Linked DNA regions of Saccharomyces cerevisiae S288C. The protein of the gene in region 1 interacts with the protein of each later gene in a biochemical or structural test. Each region holds a gene or a part of one and is shown on either strand. Other genes may lie near its edges.

The links. Proteins that work in one complex are often made in the same cells at the same time.
Region 2: the proteins of RFA1 (region 1) and RTT105 form a complex in vitro, tested with the Saccharomyces cerevisiae proteins (4 studies listed by BioGRID).
Region 3: the proteins of RFA1 (region 1) and DNA2 form a complex in vitro, tested with the Saccharomyces cerevisiae proteins (3 studies listed by BioGRID, with this or other methods).

The regions. Positions count from the first base shown.
Region 1 is NC_001133.9:156,254-164,562, forward strand, and holds RFA1 (replication factor A subunit protein RFA1), read right to left. Parts: upstream 2,367-8,309; coding exon 501-2,366; downstream 1-500. Other genes in the region: COMPASS subunit protein SWD1, read left to right, coding at 1-32; tRNA splicing endonuclease subunit SEN34, read left to right, coding at 2,713-3,540; YAR009C (truncated gag-pol fusion protein), read right to left, coding at 4,344-7,934; YAR010C (gag protein), read right to left, coding at 8,291-8,309. UniProt on the Saccharomyces cerevisiae protein: As part of the replication protein A (RPA/RP-A), a single-stranded DNA-binding heterotrimeric complex, may play an essential role in DNA replication, recombination and repair.
Region 2 is NC_001137.3:364,971-367,928, forward strand, and holds RTT105 (Rtt105p), read left to right. Parts: upstream 1-1,831; coding exon 1,832-2,458; downstream 2,459-2,958. Other genes in the region: Hsp70 family chaperone SSA4, read left to right, coding at 1-1,547; NUP157 (Nup157p), read right to left, coding at 2,868-2,958. UniProt on the Saccharomyces cerevisiae protein: Involved in regulation of Ty1 transposition. Inhibits Ty1 transposition at a post-transcriptional and pre-integrational stage of the Ty1 retrotransposition cycle.
Region 3 is NC_001140.6:424,110-430,839, reverse strand, and holds DNA2 (bifunctional ATP-dependent DNA helicase/ssDNA endodeoxyribonuclease DNA2), read left to right. Parts: upstream 1-1,661; coding exon 1,662-6,230; downstream 6,231-6,730. Other genes in the region: U4/U6-U5 snRNP complex subunit PRP8, read left to right, coding at 1-1,133; 6-phosphogluconolactonase SOL3, read right to left, coding at 6,367-6,730. UniProt on the Saccharomyces cerevisiae protein: Key enzyme involved in DNA replication and DNA repair.

The DNA of each region.
Region 1 (8,309 bases):
ATACGAGGATAATTAAGATGCAGTCATCATAGGTTTCTCTTCAAAAGGAGAAAGTTTAAATAGGCAACTGACACTGAAGAGGTATAGTCATGCCTACCGCGATTTCTTTGACACAGAATTGAAAAATTTTGCATTTTTTGGTAATTTCCTAATAATACGAAGTGCAATAATCTCACTTTGATAGGAGCACGTCATGATGGTAATTTCATACTACTGAACGTAAATGTTGAAGGTGAATTTGTAAAGCTTTGTTATTTGAAGCTGTACACCTAAAGGGCGGTAAATTGTTGGGTGTTAGTACCATGCCATTAATTAGAATTTGTTAGCATTTTTATTCATTTGTGCATTATGGGTTCAAATTCATATGACTGAACGTGTAGTTTCATATCCAGTCATCAAGAGATGCTGAACCGCCCTTCAAAAACTTGACGAAATAGAAGTTTTTTTTTTACATTTCTCATATGTTACATAGATTAAATAGTACTTGATTATTTGATACATTAAGCTAACAAAGCCTTGGATAACTCATCGGCAAGATAGTCGGCTTCAGCCCTGTAATTCAAGCTGTGTAGGTTAGCAACGGTATATCTAATTCTGCTTTGATCATTGTATGTATCCTCACGCGCTCTAATCCTAAAGTCATATTCGTTCATTTGGATACTTTGAGTAATTTTTGTGAATTCGTTGGGGTCTTCTTCCTTCAAAGACATTAATGTATTAGCATCAACACCCAATAATTGTTTAGCTTGGTCGTCAAATAAAGTGAGCCATAGTTGATTGGTTTCGTCAATAATTGATATTGTCAAGATGTATCTCCAATTTGGCCTTGCATTATTGGTGTCGCACTTCTCACATCTCCAAGTACCATCAGGCTGTTCCAGAACTTTCTTATTACAATTCTCATTAGAACAGGCAGGATATGCAAAATTATCAACTTTTAAGAAACTTATAGCAGCTTTAACACTAAAAAAGTCACCTTTCTCGCTTCTTCCTAGATTTTCAGCTTGAGCTCTAGCAATAGTAATACGCTGAGCAATGAATTTTGTTAAGCTAGCAGCCGATTGACCACCCATACCGGGTTCTTGCTTTAAAGTGATGAAGTTTGCGTTGCGGCCCTTGGAATCATACCAACCCTTTAAGGCATATGCCTCAGGAATTTCTGGATTCGGAATCAGGGTACTAGAAAATCCCATAGACAAAGATTTGCCACCAAAATCCGTCACACGAACACCTTTAATGGCAGCAACAGAACCTTCAGGAAGGTTGAAATCAAGGGCTTGCTGATTCCATAGGCCAACAGAGATAGAAAACCCAGAGTCGTCAACAATTGTGATGTCACGACGATCGAATTTCTTCCCAGCCCTTGAAGTTAGCTCAAAATGTGGGTTTATAGTTTGGATAATACCGAGGACGTCTACGTTGGAATTTACTTCCTGGTTCTGAATAGCATCTAGTTTGATGAAATTGAAATGGGTTTTCGGAACATTACTTTCATCGAAACATTCTTCTATAACAGTGTCTCTATCCAAATTCAGTTCATAAGGGTGTGTTAGATTAGTAAATTGGGGCTTAGCTGGTTGGAGTTTTGCCTTTGATACATAGTATACTTTGCCTTCTTGTAAAATTTCGTTAAATTTTGTAGCAAAATCATTAAACGCCGTGGCTCGGATTTCTCCAGAGGTATCCAAGAAGTTGACATTGAATAGTTTACCATCACCTCTTTGATTGTGCCACGTTTTAATTTCTCCCTTGTAGGAAACTCTTGCTTTGATAGTCCAAACGTTTTGGTATGGAGACAGTTGTTCGATGGCAAAAATTGGTCTGGTTTTTTGCGAATTAGGGTTTTCATTGGCGAATTTTCTCTCATTTGCATTCAAGTTTGAGTTTGAATGCAGCATATCAGGGACACCAGCATTGCTGGCGTTTGTTTGATTGGCAACATTACCACTGTCAGTTATATCTTCGTCTTTTAAGGTTTCATTTGGATGCTCTGAGAAATAGTTATCCAAAAAAGTACTAGTTTGGTTGACCATATCAGCACGCGACTGGACCAACTCAAAGTCATCTACTAAAAGAACGTATTTCTTTCTTTCCCTGACAATAGCAGGTTCTGCAATTATCACGCGAATGATATCACCCCTTTGTAGTTCCATTGACTGGAACTTGGATGCAGCTTGGTTTCTCAACAGAGCCTTCATATGGTAAATACCATCGGAAATCATGATCAAATTCTTTCTGTTGCTGTTAGCCCCATCAGATTTCCTGGTGTTATAAACTTGATAAACGCCACCGGTGGGATTATCGTACCTTTGCTTATTGGTGAAGATGCTATGAAAATCGCCCCTCGAAAGTTGAACACTGCTCATCTCTTGTAAGTATAATCTGGTCTTCTTGCTGGTTTCGCCTTTACCGTAATAAGAAGAGTGAATAGTTTTTGTTTTACGTGTAGAACTTAAAGTGATAACATTTGTTCAAGTAAACCTTTATGTTAGTTCACGCGTCTTTTGTCGCCTCGTCTAATTTTTACGCGTGACATTTTTCCAAGCAGAGATATTTTATTGAGCAGCGAAGAAGAGTTAGAGAATAAGAAAGTGATGCGATAAGAAATCCACCCAATTAGCATAGATCCTTTCGTATATGGCTGAAGAAGGTGGTACGCGCATAGCTATTAACATATATGCAAAAAGAACGGCAAAAGGCGAGGAGGTTTTTATGCCACCGCTAGTATTTGACATAGATCACATCAAACTTCTAAGGAAATGGGGTATTTGTGGTGTGTTATCTGGAACTTTGCCTACTGCAGCACAGCAAAATGTATTTTTGTCGGTACCTTTGAGGCTTATGTTAGAAGATGTGCTGTGGCTGCATTTGAACAATCTTGCCGATGTGAAATTAATAAGACAAGAGGGAGATGAGATTATGGAGGGAATAACATTAGAGCGGGGCGCCAAACTATCTAAAATTGTCAACGATCGTTTGAACAAGTCATTTGAATATCAGAGAAAGTTCAAAAAGGATGAACACATTGCAAAATTAAAGAAAATCGGTAGAATCAATGATAAAACCACAGCTGAAGAATTGCAACGGCTTGATAAATCTAGCAATAATGACCAGCTAATTGAATCTTCTTTGTTCATTGACATTGCTAATACCTCTATGATTTTAAGAGACATACGGAGTGATTCAGACAGCTTATCCCGCGATGATATCAGTGATTTGTTATTTAAGCAGTACAGACAGGCAGGAAAAATGCAGACCTATTTCTTATACAAGGCATTGAGAGATCAAGGGTACGTTTTGTCCCCAGGTGGACGTTTTGGTGGGAAGTTTATAGCATACCCTGGTGATCCTCTTCGTTTCCATTCACATCTGACGATACAAGATGCGATTGATTATCATAATGAGCCGATTGACCTAATATCCATGATAAGTGGTGCAAGACTAGGAACGACTGTGAAAAAACTTTGGGTCATAGGCGGTGTTGCGGAAGAGACAAAGGAAACTCATTTCTTCTCAATAGAATGGGCTGGATTTGGTTAAGCTGGGAATCAGTCATGTATAATTATTTTCTCAGAATTTATGTATTTATAAGGTTTTTCAGAAGCATACATATGTGTAATACAATTTTTAAATTTGCATTGATATTTTGATGCATTCAGCGGGAAAGTAGTTGTTTATCACTAGACATATAATTATGTTTATTTATATTTAGTGGGAGCAAAACAGTTTATTGAATGTTTACCAGAACCGAAAAAAAAGCTCTTCTAAACTGTTGACATCCAGTTCATTTACTTCCACGTGTAGATGTGAAGGAACAAATATTTTAGCATCGTTCATACAAGTAATTATGCTATATTATCGATCCTCGGATTTCAGCTTCCGTTATATCGGATGATTGTTACTCGACCTTTATGTCGTCTTTTTACATCATATATGATAATATGCTAGCAGTTTTAATACAAATTGATCGAAGATAGTTGGTTCTGAGAAATGGGTGAATGTTGAGATAATTGTTGGGATTCCATTGTTGATAAAGGCTATAATATTAGGTATACAGAATATACTAGAAGTTCTCCTCGAGGATATAGGAATCCTCAAAATGGAATCTATATTTCTACATACTAATATTACGATTATTCCTCATTCCGTTTTATATGTTTATATTCATTGATCCTATTACATTATCAATCCTTGCGTTTCAGCTTCCACTAATTTAGATGACTATTTCTCATCATTTGCGTCATCTTCTAACACCGTATATGATAATATACTAGTAATGTAAATACTAGTTAGTAGATGATAGTTGATTTCTATTCCAACATACCACCCATAATGTAATAGATCTAATGAATCCATTTGTTAGTTAATAGTTTAAATGTTTTTATCGGAAGAGGTTTTGTCATCACATCAGCAATGTTCTTCTTGGTCTCGATGTAGTATACGTATAAATTATTACCTGATACTTCATCTCTAAGTCTCATTGCCTTTGTGCCAAAAAATCTGTTTCTAAATTTCTCTTCATTTGTAGACTTAATTATACTGATCGTTGATCTACTATCAGTAAGTAAGCCTTTAATAATTGGTTTCTTGTTAAGTTCTTGTATCAGGTAACTTAGATTATTTAATAATGGGACAGATTCACTTATCGCGTGTATTTCTGCTTCCGTAGTTGAAGTACATGTTAATGAAGCCTTGGTGGACTTTCCTCCAATTACCTTTCCATTAAGTAAATATATGTTGCCAATTTGTGATTTATAATACGGTTGGTTGCCATACGAAGCATCACTTATTGCGACTAGTTTATTATCTGGCTCGGTAGGTTTGTTTTTGTGCCATATCAGTTGTTTATCTCTAGTGTCCCACATGAATTGTATCAACTCATATGTCATGTCTAAAACTTGCCTAGAGGGGAATAGTATATGTTGAGCAAGTGTGTTGATGTAGTATAGTAAGTCAAATCTAAATTTATATCCAACATATGAAGCTAGACCAATCAACTTTTGCATTTCATGTACCTTCTCTTTGTATTCATCTTCATCTATTTCTAGTTCATCCTGGTCTATATAAAGACCTGGTTGACCTGGAGCTCTAAGTTTCTTTCCTTTTGGGTTCAAAGGTACGTTTAGTTTGGGTAATTTTTCTGTCAAGGATTTTTCCATACCTAATTTCATGTATTTACCTCTTTGATATTTGATTTCTAAGCCAAGTATGTCGTACTGAATTTCGTTATCACTTTCACCCAGATTTATTATCTTTGTATCGTATTGTTTCTTGAGTGTTGTTATGATTTTCTTATTTGCATTTAAGTCTTTGCTGAACAATATCATATCATCAACGAATAAGCAAATTGTTACTTGACTATTCTTAAATACGCATGACCATCCACGAACTTCTTCCATACCACACTGTTTTATCAGGTATGATTTGATAGTTTCGTACCAGTTCGCTCCACTTTGTTTCAATCCATAAAGTGATTTCTTCAAACGTATCAACTTATCATTCATTCCTAAATGTGGTGGAGGTCTTATGTATAATTCTTCTTTGATGTCTGCATACAAATATGCCGAAGATATGTCTAATTGTGTAATATAGTAGTTATTGTCTAATGCAAGTGACAGGGATGTCATCAACGCATAATGATGTACAGTGTTGGATTGCATACCTGTATCGTACGTATCAGGATGCTGAATGTCACCTCTTGCAACAAATCTAGCTTTATGAGTTCCGTCACGTTTCTTGTTGAAGATAAACATTGAGTTTATTACTCTTTTAGGGTCTATTTCTTTTCTGTCATAATATTTGTCAGTGTCCCAAGTATTCATTTTCAATAGTTGGTTGACTTCTTTGTGGTATGCCTCGATATATTTTTCTTTTTCTTTAATATCTTTATTATAGGTGATTGCCTCATCGTATCGTAAGGTTGTCCGTATTGGTTTGATTGATTTTACTGCTTTTACAGCTGCAATCAGGTGAATTCGTTTCTTCGATCTCGGAGGTTCTAAACTACGCATATTCTTAGTATTCCATGTGTCTCGTGATACCTTAATTTCAGTTTCATTATCTTCTAATGATCTTTTCTTACTGTTGATAGTAGTATAGGCATTAGAGTCACCAATACCACCCAAACTGGAATTAGTTTGATGAGAATTTATCGGTGGGAGTTCTTTAAATGGGTCAGGGAATTCGGTAGGAGATTCTGGAGGTAGATCAGGGAGTGGGAGATCAGCGATGATAGATTCCTCGGTATTCTGTTCAGAAACAGTAGTTGGCGTTTTGATAGGAACAATATTGTGCGATGAATTATTTTCCGGTGGAGAAGCATCGATTGAAGGTGAACGGTGTATAATCCTTTTCTCAGTCTCTTGGTCACTTATCTGCGGAACAGTTTTGTTGTTGGTACCACCCGTACTGGATATTGGTACGTTTGTATGATTAGTCTCATTTTCACTGTACGAGTCTGAGTGTCTGAAATCTTTAGATTTACTGGCGTGCGACGACTCATGTGTGTTAGATTGGGACATGGGAGCAAGTAAAGGAACATTTAATTTATGCATACCACCCGAACCGGTACTCTCGATATTGGAAATTTGGGGGGTGCTAGATCTCTTCTTTGATGGAAGAATATTAGATTCAGATATGTTGGGGTCAACTTCTCTGGGTGCGCGAATATTGGTTTTAGAAACACGTTTCGAATCTTCAGTATGAGTTGACGGAGGTGTGGAATCGGTTGGACTCACAGCTTTTGAAAGGACATTTCTCGGTTGCTCAGGATGTAGTTCAATGTCGGATTGGAAGTCATGGTCAGATTCTATGTTAAGATCATTGGATTCTTGGATCTCATTTGACGCAATGAACGAATGATATGAAGCAGTTAAACGGTTTAAGTCTTCATCGAAAGTGAGTGCGTCGTAATTGAATTGATCTAATCTGGATTCCTTGCCCTGAAGAATAACATAGTTAGTTGTATCTACTGTCTTCTTTAAGGATGGAAGATAGATGATATATCCATAAGAGTTTCGAGACGGATGTAGAGCGTAGCCTGGGATGCCACGAGGATGTATTTTGGAGTTAGGGTTGTGATCATTGACGATAACAGGTTGACCGAAAGGTAACAAAGTACTGATATCAAGTCCTGCCAAGCCAGCATGTTGTCTTGCAGATTTTTTGCTTTTAGGTGAAGCTAGTGAATTTCTCACAATAGTAGAAAATTCGATTGCAGAGAACCATAAATGGTTCGGTAAACCACTACATTGCAGTTGAGTACGGCAGTCATCTAATAAGGTACGGTTTAGCCGTTCAGCGACTCCATGTGCTCGGGAATCCGCTGTGGTTGTATAGCATGGAGTTATACCATTTTTTTCAAGGAATTTATGGAGAGTTCTGTTAGTATACTCAGAACCACGGTCCATTTGTATAACCAAGACACTGGCCTGAAACTGGTTTTTAATAAAAGCTAGTATCGTAGTAAAAACATCGAGGATAGAGTCCTCGCGACGGTCGTGTAATGGATAAACCCAACGCAATTTTGTTGTCTCATCAGTAAATGAGATGAAATAGGATGGTGCACTTTTTGGTAGGTTGTGAACTGGACCAAATATGTCAGTATGTAGGTATTGAAAGGGTTCGTATGAATTTTGGTATTTTAGTCGTGAACCTTTGATATGTCTGTGTTTGGTGCTTTTGCCGATTAAACAATCAGGACATTGATAGTCAATAGCACTAGACCAGTCGACATCTGATTCGTTAAAATACGTGATGGTGTTATTTTTAAGTGAGTATCGAATTTGTCTGTGCATTGGCATGCGCAAGCATTCGATGAATGAAAGGATAAGGATATTTGCGTGTACTTTCACTTGTATGGACATTATTGATGGTGGGTACGGAGATATTTGATGGAAGCAAGTACTTTTTAGATACCCAGTAAAAGTCTCCATATTTTACGATAGGTGCAAGTACAGTGCCGTCAGACCGTTCTAAGACGTTTTTGGTAAAGCATGCTGTGATATCTACTGCAGCCAATTCATTCAAACTGAGTAAGTCATAGGCTATGTTAGGAGTGTGCAATACCTTTATTGATGTTTTGGTGTTGTCCTGGAAGTGAAATTGTAGGTCACCAATAGCGTTAATTGGTATATTTCTTTTTTGAGCATCAACTACGTTTATGTCAGGATTAGATGATGCTGAGTGTATGTGATGAGCAGATCTTATAAGGGTTCGTGATGCTCCTGAATCGAGAAGGAGGTGTCCAGGGAGTTCATCATCAGAATGATTAGTATGATTTACTGTAGATTCAGTAAGTTTCTGGCCTA
Region 2 (2,958 bases), on another chromosome or scaffold:
CTGCTGAGAACTTTTTAGGAACAGAAGTGAAAGATGCTGTAGTAACGGTTCCAGCCTATTTCAACGATTCACAAAGGCAAGCAACAAAAGATGCCGGTACAATCGCGGGCTTGAACGTTCTTCGTATCATTAATGAACCTACAGCTGCCGCTATTGCGTATGGGCTGGACAAGAAATCGCAGAAGGAGCACAACGTCTTGATCTTTGATTTAGGTGGTGGTACTTTTGATGTCTCTCTGCTATCCATAGATGAAGGTGTCTTTGAGGTTAAGGCTACTGCTGGTGACACTCACTTGGGTGGTGAAGATTTCGATAGTAGGCTGGTTAACTTTCTAGCCGAGGAGTTCAAAAGAAAAAATAAAAAGGATCTAACAACTAACCAAAGGTCCCTAAGGAGGTTAAGGACCGCCGCTGAAAGGGCCAAGAGAACTCTGTCTTCGTCTGCTCAGACATCTATAGAAATAGATTCATTATTTGAGGGTATCGATTTCTATACTTCCATTACAAGGGCAAGATTTGAAGAATTATGTGCTGATTTGTTTAGATCTACATTGGAGCCAGTGGAAAAAGTTTTGGCTGATTCAAAATTAGATAAGTCACAAATTGATGAAATTGTACTTGTTGGTGGTTCAACAAGAATTCCAAAAGTACAAAAACTGGTTTCTGATTTTTTCAATGGTAAAGAACCAAACCGTTCGATTAACCCTGATGAGGCCGTCGCTTATGGTGCTGCCGTACAGGCTGCCATCTTAACGGGTGACCAGTCGTCGACGACCCAAGATTTACTGTTGCTGGATGTTGCACCATTATCTCTAGGTATTGAAACTGCAGGTGGTATTATGACAAAGTTGATCCCAAGAAATTCGACTATCCCAACAAAAAAATCGGAAGTGTTTTCCACCTACGCTGACAACCAACCTGGTGTGTTGATACAAGTTTTTGAGGGTGAAAGGACAAGGACAAAAGACAACAATCTACTGGGTAAATTTGAGTTGAGCGGTATTCCACCCGCTCCAAGAGGCGTACCACAAATTGAAGTTACATTTGATATCGATGCAAATGGTATTCTGAACGTATCTGCCGTTGAAAAAGGTACTGGTAAATCTAACAAGATTACAATTACTAACGATAAGGGAAGATTATCGAAGGAAGATATCGATAAAATGGTTGCTGAGGCAGAAAAGTTCAAGGCCGAAGATGAACAAGAAGCTCAACGTGTTCAAGCTAAGAATCAGCTAGAATCGTACGCGTTTACTTTGAAAAATTCTGTGAGCGAAAATAACTTCAAGGAGAAGGTGGGTGAAGAGGATGCCAGGAAATTGGAAGCCGCCGCCCAAGATGCTATAAATTGGTTAGATGCTTCGCAAGCGGCCTCCACCGAGGAATACAAGGAAAGGCAAAAGGAACTAGAAGGTGTTGCAAACCCCATTATGAGTAAATTTTACGGAGCTGCAGGTGGTGCCCCAGGAGCAGGCCCAGTTCCGGGTGCTGGAGCAGGCCCCACTGGAGCACCAGACAACGGCCCAACGGTTGAAGAGGTTGATTAGATAAATACAAAGATGCGATGAAGTAGCAGCATCGAATTTCTTAGTTTTCCCTCTTAACAACTTTTTATAAGTATATATATAAGATACACAATCAGTAATTAGCAAATGACTACTATTTGTACGTTCTCATCGTCATAAGCCAGAGTTTAATTAAGTGCCTCAACCGGGATGCGATTTCGCGTTCATATACAAAGCCGAAATGACAATAAGAAAGTCATCGCCAAACAACACGACTAATTGACCATTAAAAGGAACAAAATACAGTCAAAGAGTTTAGCTCGGAAATGTACAGCAATCATAATTTAAATTCGGATGACTGTTGCTTCGATTGGAATGAAGAGAAGGCCGCAGAACTACAGCGTACAGGTGTTTCTTTTGACCGGAGTTTAACACCTCAATCTTTAAGAACATCTACACGTAGACTATCAGAAGAGAACAAACAACAAAGTGGCACTATGCACATTGACACTTCCCCTTCTGTGGTTTCAGATATAATATCAAGTAGACGAGATCGTTCACAGGATTTTTTTGGGCCTCATTCTTCATCCCCTATTGCCCCTTCAGAACGACAACGAGCGGATCAGAGATCACGGTTGGAGTCCATGAGATTAACTAGACGTCGAGACAAAATGACCAAAGTACGCGGTGGCCTAGAAAAGATGGAAGAAATGATCATGCAAGGTGAACACCTTAGAGAAATGCAAAGGCTAAAGCAGGAAGCACAAAAGAACGCTCTACCCTCTGACATGGCTGAATATATGGAATGGCAAAACAACGAGGATTTGGAAGACGATGAGTTGCTTGCCTTTATTGAAAAACAGGAAACTTATAAAAATGAATTAGAACACTTTTTGAACAATGCTAATAAAAATGTTTATGAGAACAACTCGTATCCGAACTCTCATACGTGATGGCATCATTGCTATTACAGAAATAGCCCTAGCCTGTCATATTTAACTGAGCTGTTGAGTATGGGCATCTTTCCGCATGCGCTAACTACGGAGCTGGCTCTTCCCCTTCTATTAATCCTTCTGGCAGGAAGCGAAAGCGACTGATGTCGTTTCTACGTTTCTATGTATATTCTATCGCGTTTAAGTGTGTATATTTTGAGCTGCTCAAGTGAAGGGAACGTATTCAGAATAACTAGATTCTCTGCCATACGATCAACTAACTGTTTACCATATACAGTCTCAGTTCGCTACGGTTAGCGTACCGTAAAACAGCAGTTTACATTCACTATATAAAGGATGACGTAAGAATTTGCCTACGTATTAAAGAAAACTTCACAATCAAACTGCTAAAATATACAAATAATTCCGTTCATTTCAGGCCATGATGACGATCCTTCACATAATCTTGAACGGGATCGGTATTCGGATCATATTTCTCCAATTTTTTGATTTGTTCTGGC
Region 3 (6,730 bases), on another chromosome or scaffold:
ACCATTTATGGCCTTCATTCACTGATGAACAATGGATCACTATCGAATCTCAAATGAGAGATTTGATTTTGACTGAGTACGGCAGAAAATACAATGTCAATATATCTGCCTTAACTCAAACGGAAATTAAAGATATTATATTGGGTCAAAATATCAAGGCACCATCTGTGAAGAGACAAAAAATGGCTGAATTAGAAGCTGCCAGGTCAGAAAAGCAGAACGACGAAGAAGCTGCAGGTGCATCAACTGTTATGAAAACTAAAACTATCAATGCGCAAGGTGAGGAGATAGTTGTAGTAGCTTCCGCTGATTACGAAAGTCAAACGTTTAGTTCAAAGAATGAATGGAGAAAATCTGCAATTGCTAATACACTATTATATTTGAGGTTAAAAAACATTTATGTTTCGGCTGATGATTTCGTGGAGGAACAGAATGTTTACGTCCTTCCAAAAAATTTATTAAAGAAGTTTATTGAGATATCCGATGTGAAAATCCAGGTGGCGGCCTTTATTTATGGTATGTCAGCAAAAGATCATCCGAAGGTGAAAGAAATCAAGACTGTTGTGCTGGTACCTCAATTAGGCCACGTAGGATCCGTTCAGATAAGCAACATCCCTGACATCGGAGACCTTCCGGATACTGAAGGCCTTGAACTACTCGGTTGGATCCATACCCAGACAGAAGAACTTAAATTCATGGCTGCGTCTGAAGTAGCAACTCATTCTAAACTTTTTGCGGATAAGAAAAGAGACTGCATTGATATTTCAATTTTTTCCACCCCGGGATCAGTATCATTAAGCGCTTATAACCTGACCGACGAAGGTTACCAATGGGGTGAAGAAAATAAGGATATAATGAACGTGCTATCGGAAGGGTTTGAGCCTACTTTCAGCACGCATGCCCAATTACTTCTCTCTGACCGTATCACAGGTAATTTTATAATTCCATCTGGAAACGTTTGGAACTACACATTTATGGGAACAGCATTTAACCAAGAAGGTGACTACAATTTTAAATACGGCATTCCTTTGGAATTCTATAATGAGATGCATCGTCCAGTACACTTTTTACAGTTTAGCGAATTGGCGGGGGACGAAGAGTTAGAGGCCGAACAAATCGATGTATTTAGCTGAATATATTCCCCAATAAACTGGAATCTGTTATTTCATAGATATATATGTAAGTATAAGTTTGTATGTATAATATTCAACGCATTTTTTATGCCCGTCGTAGTTGCTACCTACCACACGATGATGTATTATAATTTCGGAACTACTTCAAAGCTACGCTTTCCGCACTATGAAAAGCTATAAGTATGTGAAAATTGGTCATTGACTGTGATTCTATTTCAAAAAGTAACCAAAGGAGATAGACATCGTTCGGACAGAAAATGGTCCGTTGTCACTCCCATTCCATTATGTCCTTCATATAGAAATTGGATATTCTTGTTTTCATTTCGCGCAATAAAGCAATTCCGTGCGGCAGAAAGAACTTATATATATTTAACTGATCTTACGCTATTTATGGCAAAACTTGTGTTACATTTTTGAAGATAAAGTTACAATCATTACGGCAGCCTCAAAACAAAATTGGGAGAAAACATACTCAAGTGAGTACTCATTTTGTGCAAGCAAACACTGACAATTGAAGAGATCGTCAGGATGCCCGGAACGCCACAGAAGAACAAGAGGTCTGCGAGTATATCTGTTTCACCTGCGAAGAAGACAGAGGAAAAAGAAATAATACAAAATGATTCAAAGGCGATATTATCTAAGCAAACTAAGAGGAAAAAAAAGTATGCTTTTGCTCCTATAAATAACTTAAATGGGAAGAACACCAAGGTATCCAATGCAAGTGTCCTAAAGTCAATAGCCGTTTCACAAGTACGAAATACATCAAGAACAAAAGATATAAACAAAGCAGTTAGCAAGAGCGTAAAGCAATTACCAAATTCACAAGTTAAACCGAAACGGGAAATGTCTAATTTGAGTAGGCATCACGATTTCACTCAAGACGAGGACGGCCCCATGGAAGAAGTAATATGGAAATATTCACCTTTACAACGAGATATGTCCGACAAAACAACAAGCGCTGCCGAATACTCTGATGACTACGAAGATGTCCAAAATCCCTCTTCTACACCTATAGTCCCTAATCGACTGAAAACTGTTCTTAGTTTCACAAATATCCAAGTACCCAACGCTGACGTAAATCAACTCATTCAAGAAAATGGAAATGAGCAAGTGCGTCCTAAACCAGCAGAAATATCTACCAGGGAGTCTCTCCGTAATATAGATGATATTCTCGATGATATAGAGGGCGATTTAACTATAAAACCGACGATAACGAAATTCAGCGATTTGCCATCTTCACCCATCAAGGCACCCAACGTTGAAAAAAAAGCAGAGGTGAATGCAGAAGAAGTAGATAAAATGGATTCAACAGGAGATAGCAACGATGGCGATGACTCTTTGATAGATATTTTAACTCAAAAGTATGTTGAGAAACGCAAGAGTGAGAGTCAGATAACAATTCAAGGCAACACCAATCAAAAAAGTGGAGCCCAGGAAAGTTGTGGGAAGAATGATAACACAAAATCGAGAGGAGAAATTGAAGATCATGAAAATGTAGACAATCAAGCCAAAACAGGCAATGCATTTTATGAGAATGAAGAAGACAGTAATTGCCAAAGAATTAAAAAAAATGAAAAAATAGAATACAATTCTTCAGACGAATTTTCAGACGATTCACTAATTGAACTATTGAACGAAACTCAAACACAAGTGGAACCTAACACTATTGAACAAGATTTAGACAAAGTGGAGAAAATGGTCTCTGACGATTTGAGAATTGCTACTGATTCCACTTTATCCGCATATGCTCTCAGAGCTAAGTCTGGTGCTCCAAGAGACGGCGTAGTACGATTAGTAATAGTAAGCTTACGTAGTGTTGAATTGCCAAAAATTGGAACGCAAAAAATACTAGAGTGTATAGACGGCAAAGGCGAACAAAGTTCTGTTGTCGTTCGACATCCTTGGGTATATTTGGAATTTGAGGTTGGGGATGTAATACATATTATAGAAGGGAAAAATATTGAAAACAAACGGCTTCTTTCTGACGACAAAAACCCTAAAACTCAACTGGCTAACGACAACCTGTTGGTGCTAAACCCTGATGTATTATTTTCGGCAACATCAGTCGGAAGTTCAGTAGGTTGTTTAAGACGTTCAATTCTGCAAATGCAATTTCAAGATCCCCGCGGAGAACCAAGCCTTGTCATGACTTTAGGCAATATCGTACACGAGTTATTGCAAGACTCAATCAAATACAAGCTCTCGCATAATAAAATTTCTATGGAAATCATAATACAAAAGCTGGATTCTTTGTTAGAAACTTATTCTTTTTCAATTATCATTTGTAATGAAGAAATCCAGTACGTTAAAGAATTAGTTATGAAAGAACATGCTGAAAACATTTTGTACTTCGTCAATAAATTTGTTTCGAAAAGTAACTATGGTTGCTACACATCAATTTCCGGAACAAGAAGAACACAGCCAATTTCTATATCCAATGTGATTGATATTGAAGAAAACATTTGGTCTCCAATATATGGTCTTAAAGGGTTCCTAGATGCAACTGTTGAAGCTAATGTTGAAAACAATAAAAAACACATCGTTCCTTTAGAAGTGAAAACTGGAAAATCCAGAAGCGTTTCATACGAGGTTCAAGGCCTTATTTATACACTTCTGTTAAATGATCGCTATGAGATACCGATAGAGTTTTTTCTTCTTTATTTTACGAGGGATAAAAATATGACAAAGTTCCCTTCTGTTCTGCACTCCATTAAACATATTCTCATGTCCCGAAATAGAATGAGTATGAATTTTAAGCATCAACTCCAAGAGGTTTTCGGACAGGCTCAATCAAGGTTTGAATTACCACCCTTACTGCGCGATTCATCTTGTGATTCATGTTTCATCAAAGAATCATGCATGGTGTTGAATAAGCTACTAGAGGACGGGACACCAGAAGAAAGTGGCCTGGTAGAAGGTGAGTTTGAAATTTTGACAAACCATTTGTCGCAAAATCTCGCCAACTACAAAGAGTTTTTTACAAAATATAATGATCTAATAACTAAGGAGGAGTCAAGTATAACATGTGTAAATAAAGAACTTTTCTTATTGGATGGTTCCACAAGAGAATCCAGAAGTGGAAGGTGCCTTTCTGGCTTGGTTGTGTCAGAGGTGGTTGAACATGAAAAAACAGAGGGAGCGTATATATATTGCTTCTCAAGACGTAGAAATGATAATAACTCGCAGTCGATGTTATCATCTCAAATTGCTGCTAATGACTTTGTTATTATTAGTGATGAGGAGGGTCATTTTTGCTTGTGCCAAGGTCGTGTACAATTTATAAATCCCGCTAAAATTGGTATCTCCGTAAAACGAAAGTTATTAAACAATAGGCTTCTAGATAAGGAAAAAGGAGTCACTACCATCCAAAGTGTGGTCGAATCAGAGCTAGAACAATCCAGTCTCATAGCTACCCAAAATTTGGTCACATATAGAATCGACAAAAATGATATCCAACAGAGTTTGTCTTTAGCGCGATTTAATCTTTTAAGCTTGTTTTTACCAGCTGTTTCACCTGGCGTGGATATTGTTGACGAAAGGAGTAAATTATGTCGGAAGACAAAGAGATCTGATGGAGGTAATGAAATACTGCGATCACTTTTAGTTGATAATAGAGCACCTAAGTTTAGAGATGCAAATGATGATCCCGTCATTCCGTATAAGCTTTCAAAGGATACAACATTGAACTTGAATCAAAAAGAAGCAATAGACAAAGTAATGAGGGCCGAAGATTATGCATTGATATTGGGAATGCCAGGGACTGGTAAGACTACTGTTATCGCAGAAATTATTAAAATTCTCGTTTCCGAGGGGAAACGCGTGCTTTTGACATCATACACACATTCAGCAGTGGATAATATTTTAATAAAATTGAGGAACACCAACATTAGCATAATGAGATTGGGAATGAAACATAAGGTCCATCCTGACACGCAAAAATATGTCCCGAATTACGCGTCAGTGAAAAGTTATAACGATTATTTGTCCAAAATTAACAGCACCTCTGTTGTTGCTACCACCTGCTTAGGAATTAACGATATACTATTTACACTAAATGAAAAGGATTTTGATTATGTGATTTTGGACGAGGCAAGTCAAATTTCAATGCCTGTCGCTTTGGGACCTCTGCGGTATGGAAATAGGTTTATTATGGTAGGAGATCATTACCAGCTACCGCCATTAGTTAAAAATGACGCAGCTCGATTAGGTGGGTTAGAAGAGTCACTGTTCAAGACTTTCTGTGAAAAGCATCCGGAAAGCGTTGCAGAACTGACTTTACAGTACCGTATGTGCGGCGATATTGTAACTTTGTCTAATTTCCTAATTTATGATAATAAATTAAAATGCGGGAATAACGAAGTTTTTGCTCAATCTTTAGAGTTACCAATGCCTGAGGCCTTGTCGCGCTATAGGAATGAATCGGCTAACTCTAAGCAGTGGCTTGAGGATATACTAGAGCCTACAAGAAAAGTGGTATTTTTAAATTACGATAACTGCCCGGATATTATCGAACAAAGCGAAAAGGATAACATTACGAATCACGGGGAGGCAGAATTGACTCTACAATGTGTGGAAGGAATGTTATTGAGCGGCGTACCATGCGAAGATATTGGTGTAATGACGTTATACAGAGCACAGTTAAGATTACTGAAGAAGATATTCAACAAAAATGTGTATGACGGGCTAGAGATCTTGACTGCTGATCAGTTTCAAGGTCGTGACAAAAAGTGCATTATTATTTCCATGGTTAGAAGAAATTCTCAATTAAATGGAGGAGCGCTGCTGAAAGAGCTAAGAAGAGTCAATGTTGCCATGACAAGGGCCAAATCCAAGCTGATCATTATAGGTTCAAAAAGTACAATCGGCTCTGTTCCTGAAATAAAATCGTTCGTGAACCTGTTAGAAGAGCGTAATTGGGTCTATACAATGTGCAAGGATGCACTCTACAAATACAAATTTCCCGACAGATCAAACGCTATTGATGAGGCACGCAAAGGTTGTGGAAAAAGAACAGGTGCCAAACCCATCACATCAAAGTCTAAATTCGTAAGCGATAAACCTATCATAAAGGAAATTCTACAAGAGTATGAAAGTTGACAGGGGGAATAAGAAGAGCTTCTCCATAACAGGAAAGCTATCACAGCATAAAATATCTATGTCATTTTATAAAGTTTGGTATATATAACACGTAATATTAGCATCTGAGGTTCGAAAGCTCGCATGTGTGTCTTTTCTAAAAAGTTTTCGTTTGAACTTTTCCAAAAGCTTCCTCATTAACGAACCAGGATGTTTTTTCACCAAATAATTTGTTAACCAATGCGGTTGGCAATTGATCGTTTTTCAAGTCAAAGATCTCATGCATTATATTTTGTTTGGAACTGCCCTCAGCCACAAAACACAGGGCTTTGGCGTCTTTCAACACAGGCAGAGTGAAGGTGATTCTGTCACTTGGAGGCTTGGGAGAATCGTGGCACCAAGCAACTCTTTTGGTTGTTTCGTTCAGCAAGTACCTATGTGTTTCTCCAGGGAATAAGGAACAAGTGTGTCCATCAGGACCACAGCCCAACAGTACCAAATCAAGCACTTGAGGTACGATA